Linked DNA regions of Canis lupus familiaris. The protein of the gene in region 1 binds, or shares a complex with, the protein of each later gene. Links are inferred from orthologs where the notes say so. Each region holds a gene or a part of one and is shown on either strand. Other genes may lie near its edges.

Region 1 (3,928 bases):
GGGGCCTAGAGCCCGCGTCTGCCCCGCTGCCCCCGGCGCCTTGGGGTGCCTCTTGTGGCGGGCGGCCCACTTCAGCGGGTCCCCAGGGGTTCTGGCCCGGCCGCAGGGCCCCAAGCCCACACACCCCCCGCCCCCCCACCCCCAGTACCAGTCTGTGGCCTGTGGGGATGGCCCCCTGGTACTCGGCGTTGATGCAGACGTAAAGGTCTGAATAGGCGCAGGGCAGGAACCAGGGGGGCCGGAGGTCGGCGGGCCGCACGTCCAGGACCAGGGTGGCCGTGGCTGTGTGGCTGGGCTGGGCGTTCTCCTCCTGTGTGTCCTGTGGGAGCGCAGCGGGGGTCAGGCCTGCGAGCGGGGGCTGGGGGCAGCGGGGGGGTGTCCCGGCCTGCTCACCCGCACCAGCAGCAGGAGGCTCATGTTCTGCCACTTGTAGAAGTCCAGGGGCCGGTCCAGCCGCAGGGCGGGCAGGTTGGTGCCCAGCAAGGAGAAGAAGCTACCAGCACCCTGGGGAGGTGGGGGGGGCGGGTGCGACTCAGCCTGAGACCCTGGGGAACATGGAGAGGGGCTGCCCGACGGGAGGGTTCAGAGTTGGCGTGGGGGTCGGGGACACTGACCGGGGTCACCTCTTGGAGGGTGTAGAACAAGACGTCATCCTTGTCGGGATCTTGAGCCTCCAGTTCCGTCTCAGGGATGACAGTGGTGTTCACTTTACTGTCCTGGGGATGGAGGGGAGTGGTGTCTACACCCTCGACCCCTGGTCCCCCAGGCCAAGGCCCAGGCCACTAGCCCTGCTCTCCGGCCCCTCGCCCCCCGCCCCCCGGCTCTCACCTCGGGCACGTCCTCCACCCGGAGTTTAAAGGGGAACTTGGGTGGGTTGTCGTTGACGTCCAGCACAAACACAATCACCCTCAGCTGGGTCACCTGCGGGGACACGGCCTGAGCACCCTGCATCACACACGGGCCGCCGCGAGCCCGGGGACGGCAGGTGCCCGGGCAAAGGACTTGGCTACCGGCCGGGCTGGGGCACCGCCAATCCCAGGTGAGAACCACGGCGAAATGAGCAAATCGCTTCAAAAATAATTCCCGAGGAGAAAGGAAGAGAGGAAGGGGAACCCATATGTTGAAAGAGGCTCGGGAGGGGCACCCGGCTGGCTCAGTGGGAGGAGGGGGCGACTCTTGATCTCGGGGTGGGAGTTCAGGCCCACGTTGAGGGGAGAGATTGCTTCAATAAACACACTAGAGAGGAAGGGCCGGAGGGGCAGATGCTAGAGAGAAGTAGCCGGCGGCCTCGCTGGGTGGGCCTTGCTGGCGGCTCCGTGACTGTGGGGAGGGCGGGCATCGGGGGTCACATGATGCCCACGAGTCCCTTTGCAGATAATGACAAAATCGGAAGGACCGGGGACCGTGGGCAAGCCGACAGGTGCGTGGGGGCCGGGCTTGCAGCTCAGGACAGAGTGGTCAGGGGCCCCTTGAGAAGGTGGTCCTGGAGCGAAGGCCGAGGGGCGACAGCGGGAGGCAGGTGCGCGTCTGGGGAGAGGGCTCAAGGGCAGCTGGAGCGGCCTCGGGCTGGGGCACCTGGCGCTGCCCGCTGCCCGGGGCATTCAGCCTTGCCTCTGAGCGGGAGAGCAGCCGGGGCGCCGGGCGGGGATGCGCCGCTGGCTGGGCCCGATGGTCCTGCCACACTGAGACTGGACTGGCTGAGGCCGGGAGGGGAGCAAGCAGCCAGCTCCAAGTTTCCGGAAGGGAGATGCTGGTGGCCAAGGCCCTGGTTGGTCTGGAGTCCAGCTTCAGGCAGAGCTCACGGACTTGCCGATGGAGAGAGGTGTGGGGAGGGGGTGGGGGCGAGGGAACCGGTTGGGCAAGGTGCCTCTGTGCTGGGGGGTCTGCACCTCGGGGCAGTCTGGGCGGGAGGAAGTGGGGGCGCCAGCCCAGGAGCGACACTTGTAAACCGCACAGGGTGAGGTCCCCAGGGCGGGGCCCTGGACCAGTCAGAACAGAGTGCAGAGGTCCAAGCCCAAGAGCTGTGATGTCATAGGGTGGGGGCGGCGACCCAGAGGCAGGGGATGGGGGTACTCACCACGGTGTTGCCACTCTTGCACTCCAGGTGCGCCTCCAGCAGGGTGTTCTCCTGGGGGGCAGACGGGGGCCGGGTGGTCACCAGGGTCCCCAGCGTCCACGCTAAGTCCAGGGGCAGCTCCAGCCCCTAATGGCCCTATGCCCCTTGGGGCCAGGGCATCACCAAGCCTGGAGGCCCCAGAGGGGTCCGTGGATGATGCGGGGGCGGGGCGGCCAGCGAAGCGCAGACGGACCCCGAGCAGACGGACCCCGAGCCTGGGACAGCCCCGGTCCGAGGAGCGCGCCCGCCACTCAGCTGCCCTGTGTGGGGCCCCACCCGGCCCCCCGTCTGCACCTCATAGTCAGGAGTCACGTTGAGAAACAGCTCAGTCCCCTGGATCCGAAAGGCGAAGGGAGTGGACGACGACCCGAGGGTCACCTGCTGGCCCGCGGGGACGTCGATGTGAGCCAGGGGCCCGCTCTGAATCGTGTTCTCCTGGACCTCGAAGATGTTGTTGCTTACGGCGCAGACTGGAGAGCAGGAAGGGAAGGCTCAGTGCCCCCCACCCCCCCGCCCCTGCACCCCCCCCGCCGCCCCAACTGCCCCCGCCGCCCCGCAGCTACCCTGGGCCCGTGCCGTGGCCACCAGCAGCGGCAGCAGCAGGGCCCAAGCCCCCATCTCCGTGGGCCGCGCTGCTCGACCCTGTGCGCAGCTGGCTGCCGGGTGGCGGCTCAGCGGGCGACCTTTGCCCCACCAGGCACCGCCCCACAGTGTGATCCTTTACAGGCCTCGGCCTCCAGCAGGGGGGCTTTCGCCGGCCGCCGCCCAGGCCTGGCCAGCTGCCCGGAGGGGGCGTCCCGTGGTTGCCCACCAGCCCTGGGCCACGTGCGGGGGCCATGGCCACGGGGGCTCCCGGCTCAGGGCTCCATGGGCCTGCGCAGGGCCCGGGTCGTGCTGGGTGGGCGCAGCCGGGGCAGGGGTTGGGGGCCCAGGCCTGGCTCCCGTGTCTGCTGTACCCACCCGTCCCCCTAGCCCCGGCCGCCCCTTCGCTGGGCTCTCCTTCCAGAATCATCTTGGAGCCAAGTCAGACCCCGGGTGTTCCCTCCAAGCCCACCTCCCCTCCCTGCACAGTCTGTGTCCTGGGGTCGCCCCTGCCTGTGCTGGAAACACCCCACTTCCTCCAAGGGCAGGGGTGGGGGCGGCAGTGTTTCTGGAGGCTGCTGGGAGCTCGGGGCGGGGGGAGCCCGGGTCTTCAGGGGTCCCTGGCAGGCTCCTGGGCCCTGGCCCCTGCCGCCCTACCCCAAGGGCCCCCAAGCCCAAGGCAGCAGGGGAGAGGCCCCCCCCACGCAGGGACAGTAGGGGGTGTGGCCCTTCTGCTTCCTCGCCCTTGGCTCCTGGCCTCATCCCTTCCTGTGTCAGCACCGCCTCCGTGGCTCCCCTGGGGTGTCATCCCCCTCTGCACAGGCTCAGACCACACAGCCGGGAGCAGGAGCCAGGCTCACAGCCTCCCCCTGGGGTGCACTCCTGGGCCCCTGGTGGCACCCATGCCCGTCACCTCTTCCTGCCCGGCCTGAGCCTCCTTGCCCCCCAGGTCCTCCCACCGGCTGGCACTGTGACAAGGGGCCTCCAGGGCAGGTGTCCTGTGCCCCCCCAGAGCCCCTGAATGTTTGCTGAGTAGCTGGCAGGGATCCGGATGGGTCTCTGGGGAGCTCAGGTGACAGGACAGGAGACAGAAGGGAGGTGAGGCGCCCCACAGGCTCCCAGGTGTAAAGGGCACTGGGTGTGGCCACAGTCCTGGAGCCTGTGGTCGCCTGGTGCCGCCAGCCCCGCCCTGGGGGACGGCGCAGAGGGAGCTCAGAGGGCCACCGTCTG
Region 2 (4,017 bases), on another chromosome or scaffold:
ATGTAGGACGTTTTTTAAACTTCAAGTTGGAAAGTCTTTAGACACAACATTTGTTCTCCAGTTCTTTACAGACCTATCATCTCCACCTCCATTAGCCTCACCGTCAAGGTTCTAGTCATATAAGTATGCATGGTTAACCCTATTTTAGGCTTAACTCTGGAAAACTTCAGAAAGCCCCAGGCATTTAATTAATACCTTCCTTATAGTATTTTGCATTGTAGTGATCTTTCTCACGAACCTGTGAGCTACTTGAGAATAGGGGTCAAGCTTTGCCTCTCTCAACTGGTATCCTTCCTTGATGCCTGTTGGAGAGGAGATGCGCCCATACACTTTTTTAGGAATCCTGCCTCCTGTGGTTCAAAGATACTCCCAAATGCTTTCTTTGCTCTCCAGGTACTGTCATTTGCCATGAAAATAAAATGACAGTGGAATTTCCAAGGGATCTTGGCACCAAAAAATGGCATGCATCTGTGGTGGGTAAGTAATGTGTATATTCTTAATCTTGCCTCAAAGCTAGCCCCATTTTTCAGGTGCCACATACTCTGGAACAACTGGCATCCAATTCCCATGATACCACAGGGGTCCCTGATTTGCATGATGTCACCAGGAGTGGGAGACCTTGTTTCCTTAAAAACTCGTCTTCTCTCAGAATCCAATGGGAAATTTTTATTTATTTTATTTTTTTAATAATGAACTTATTTTTAATGGTGTTCAATTTGCCAACATACAGAATAACACCCAGTGCTCATCCCATCAAGTGCCCCCCTCAGTGCCCATCACCCACTCACCCCCACCCCCCGCCCTCCTCCCCTTCCACCACCCCTAGTTCGTTTCCCAGAGTTAGGAGTCTTCATGTTCTGTCTCCCTTTCCGATATTTCCTACCCATTTCTTCTCCAATGGGAAATTTTTAGCTGCAAATTATAGCATCTCTCAAAACTTGGGTCATAACATCCAGATGGGACAATAAAAAACAAAGTGATTTGAAGTAGCTTAGAAATGGATTGGCAGTCTTGACTGTGTTGCTTTGGTTTACTTTGTCACTGAAATGTACTTTTTGGCCATTTTCTCTGGCTTCTGTAGATCCATTTAGTTTTGAATTGTTGAACTGTACTTCTATCCTGGACCCAGAAAAGCTCACCCTGAAGGCCCCATATGAGACCTGTAGCAGGAGAGTGGTAAGTATTTGCTCTGAGGAGTGATTTGGGAAGTAATAACCTAGTAGTTACTACTAGTAACCCTACTACTTAAGGATACAGACCTGAGAGGAGAGCATTTATTCTCAACCAGGGGTGGTGAGTGTTCATGGTGGTGATGGTTGGTTGGTTTTTATCTTTTGTTTTTGTTTTGTCTGCCCAGACGATATTTGGTACTGTTTGGAAACCCTTTGAAGACCTTATTGGCTGTCACAATTGGAGTGGGGGGTTGTCTGTACAAGCTGAGGTTGCTGATAAACAGCCTACATTGCACAGGGTGGTCTCCTTTAACAGGAATTTCAGGCCTGAAAGGCCAGTAATACTGAGGATGAGAAACCCTGAACTTGGGGCCTTGTTGTGAGTCCCAGATTTGCCACTATCTAGTTGTGATCTCTAGCAAGTGAGCTAACCTTTCTAAGCTTTTGCTTGTTCATTAGAATAGGGAAATCATGGTACTCTCTCCACAAGGTATCTAAAGATGAATGATATGATGCAGATGAACTTGGCACAGCACCAAGATACAACAAATGCTCAAAACAAGCTATTTTGATCTGTAACCTCCATGAAAAATGGAAGGCTATTTTGGTGCTGGCAAACAGAACTGCTATGCTATAAAAAACAGGTGTGGGAAAGCAAGCAGCAGCTGAGCAATAGGGTTTTCTCTATTGCCAAGCAACAGTACTGCCTAATCAGAGTTATTGGGACCAGTAAAAGAAACCTCTCAAACGGTTCTCGAGCTTGTAGTAGGCAAAGAACATTTGGGGAATTGAGAAAGTATAGATGTGGTTCATTTAATTGATGATTTAAGTCTGGGGTATATCTTAGAAATCTGCATATGTAACTGGCCACTTGATCGAATTCCACAGTGAAGATCTTCAGTAATTTTTCCTTTCTGAAATAGCCCTTCCCAACTTGTAGAGAGCTTAGAGTTGCTTTCCTTTAAACCAAAGGCCTACAAACTATAACTTATGGATGGCCACATTTAGTCCATGGTGTGCATAAGCATAATGGTCCTTGAGCTAAGAATGGTTAAAGTTTTTTTTTGTTTTGTTTTAGGACTTAAAAAGAAAACATGTGCTAGAAATCATAAATGGCCTAAAAAGCCTAAAATGCTTACTAATACTTTATAGAAAAAGGGTGACTGTTCCTTACTAGAAACAGTTCTCTAAAGCGGGGTAAATACTGGCTTTGCCAAAAACCTGGCTCTGTCCAGCCCTCAGAATAATGGCTGCTACATAAGTTACATAAGTGCTCAGTGCATGTTTGAATGACTTGGGCAGAGGCCCCAGATTAGCCAGAACCATGATATTCAGACAAAGGTAAGTGTCAAGAAGAACTCAAAAAAAAAAAAAAAAAAAAAAAAAGAAAAAAAAAATCCTAATTCCTGAAGCTCAAGCAACTATTTGCTGCGAAGACAGGAGTCTTTACTGGGATATCTAAAAGGGCTAGCTATAGTCTCTTGGTATAAGAATCAGGTACCTTTCAGAAACTGTGGTACTGGTAACCTCAAGAGGTTTGCCCCTCAGTTAGGTCCAATGGTATTCTGGGATCACCTTTCCCATGGAGGTCCCCATACTTACTGTTCTTACTATGCCATTTGCACACAGCTTGGCCAGCATCAGATGGCCATCAGACTCACGGACAACAATGCTGCTTCAAGACATAAGGCTTTCATGTATCAGATCAGCTGTCCAGTTATGCAAACAGAAGAAACCCATGAGCATGCAGGATCCACAATCTGCACAAAAGATTCCATGTCTGTGAGTGAAGCAGGCTAACTGCTTCTCATGGTGACTACAGGGGAAATGAGGTGGTTTACACAGCTGGGGTTAGGAACAGGATCAGGATTGCAATCCTATCTTCACTACTAATTTGTTTGTTTGTTTTTTTTTGTTTGTTTTTGGGGGGCGGGGGGATGGTTTCTTAACCACACTGAGCCTTATTTCCAAGCCCAAAGTAGGGGACAATGATACCACATTAGGGTGGTGCTGAGAATTAACTGAGAGGGTATATATAGTGCTCAACACATCATACCTGGCAGTAGAAAGGATTCCGCTGGTAACTGCAATCACATTAATAACCATTTGAACAAACTGAGTACTTATCATGTCCCAGGCTCTATGCCAGATAGGATATAGTACAAAAGCAAAACAGCCCAATCACATACTCATGGATATTTATACTCTAACATAACTAAATTTGACAATGGACAAACAAAATACCTTCATACTTTGTTCTAATAATGATAAAACTGCATGGTTTGACCTAATTCTTGACTTCTATGGACAAAGCTTAAAATGTACACCTAAGGATCCAATGTCTCAAAATTGGAAGGATCTTCCAGTTGCCTTTTGGCATCAGAAGTTCAGAGATGAAATTGTCTAAGGGCACAGCTAGTTTTTATGACTGGGCCTGTGCCTCTTCTTATTCCCCACAATCAGACCTCTTGGCATACGAAATACACAGTAGTTGCTCCGGATGTTTTGCACATACTGTCAGGTAGCACGATCTCAGAAACTTTCTTTTCCAAATCAAAGCCTCACATCATGGTTTCGTTTCTTCCAGTTTACCTTTAACATTATTCCTGGCATGGCTGATGAAAATACGGTATGGAAATAACTTTTTCAATTACAGAGCTAAGTAACCTTTTGTTCTATAGTAAAGATGACTTAACTTCAACCCTGATTAAAATAGACAAATAGTCTTGAGGTTAAGGTGGATGACTTAACTTCAACCCTGATTAAAATAGACAAATAGTCTTGAGGTTAAGGTGAGCACTAGCCCTCTAAATGAAACTTCTGTCTTCAGAATCCCAGTGGTGGG

Evidence for each region. The genes of interacting proteins can lie anywhere in the genome.
Region 2: CDHR5 (region 1) and ANKS4B share a complex: the UniProt entries of both Homo sapiens proteins name them as parts of the IMAC/intermicrovillar adhesion complex. The link is inferred for Canis lupus familiaris from reciprocal best matches to the Homo sapiens genes CDHR5 and ANKS4B.

The regions. Positions count from the first base shown.
Region 1 is NC_049239.1:26,066,410-26,070,337, forward strand, and holds the start of CDHR5 (cadherin-related family member 5), read right to left. Parts: upstream 2,801-3,928; 5' UTR 2,735-2,800; coding exon 2,680-2,734; intron 2,587-2,679; coding exon 2,411-2,586; intron 2,129-2,410; coding exon 2,078-2,128; intron 922-2,077; coding exon 829-921; intron 717-828; coding exon 615-716; intron 505-614; coding exon 394-504; intron 320-393; coding exon 149-319; intron 1-148. UniProt on the Homo sapiens protein: Intermicrovillar adhesion molecule that forms, via its extracellular domain, calcium-dependent heterophilic complexes with CDHR2 on adjacent microvilli. Thereby, controls the packing of microvilli at the apical membrane of epithelial cells.
Region 2 is NC_049227.1:24,464,793-24,468,809, forward strand, and holds the start of ANKS4B (ankyrin repeat and SAM domain-containing protein 4B), read right to left. Parts: upstream 2,802-4,017; 5' UTR 2,775-2,801; intron 1,177-2,774; coding exon of another isoform or gene 1,082-1,176; intron 478-1,081; coding exon of another isoform or gene 394-477; intron 1-393. Other genes in the region: ZP2 (zona pellucida sperm-binding protein 2 precursor), read left to right, coding at 394-477, 1,082-1,176, 2,802-2,954, 3,760-3,801, 4,003-4,017. UniProt on the Homo sapiens protein: As part of the intermicrovillar adhesion complex/IMAC plays a role in epithelial brush border differentiation, controlling microvilli organization and length. Plays a role in assembly of the complex.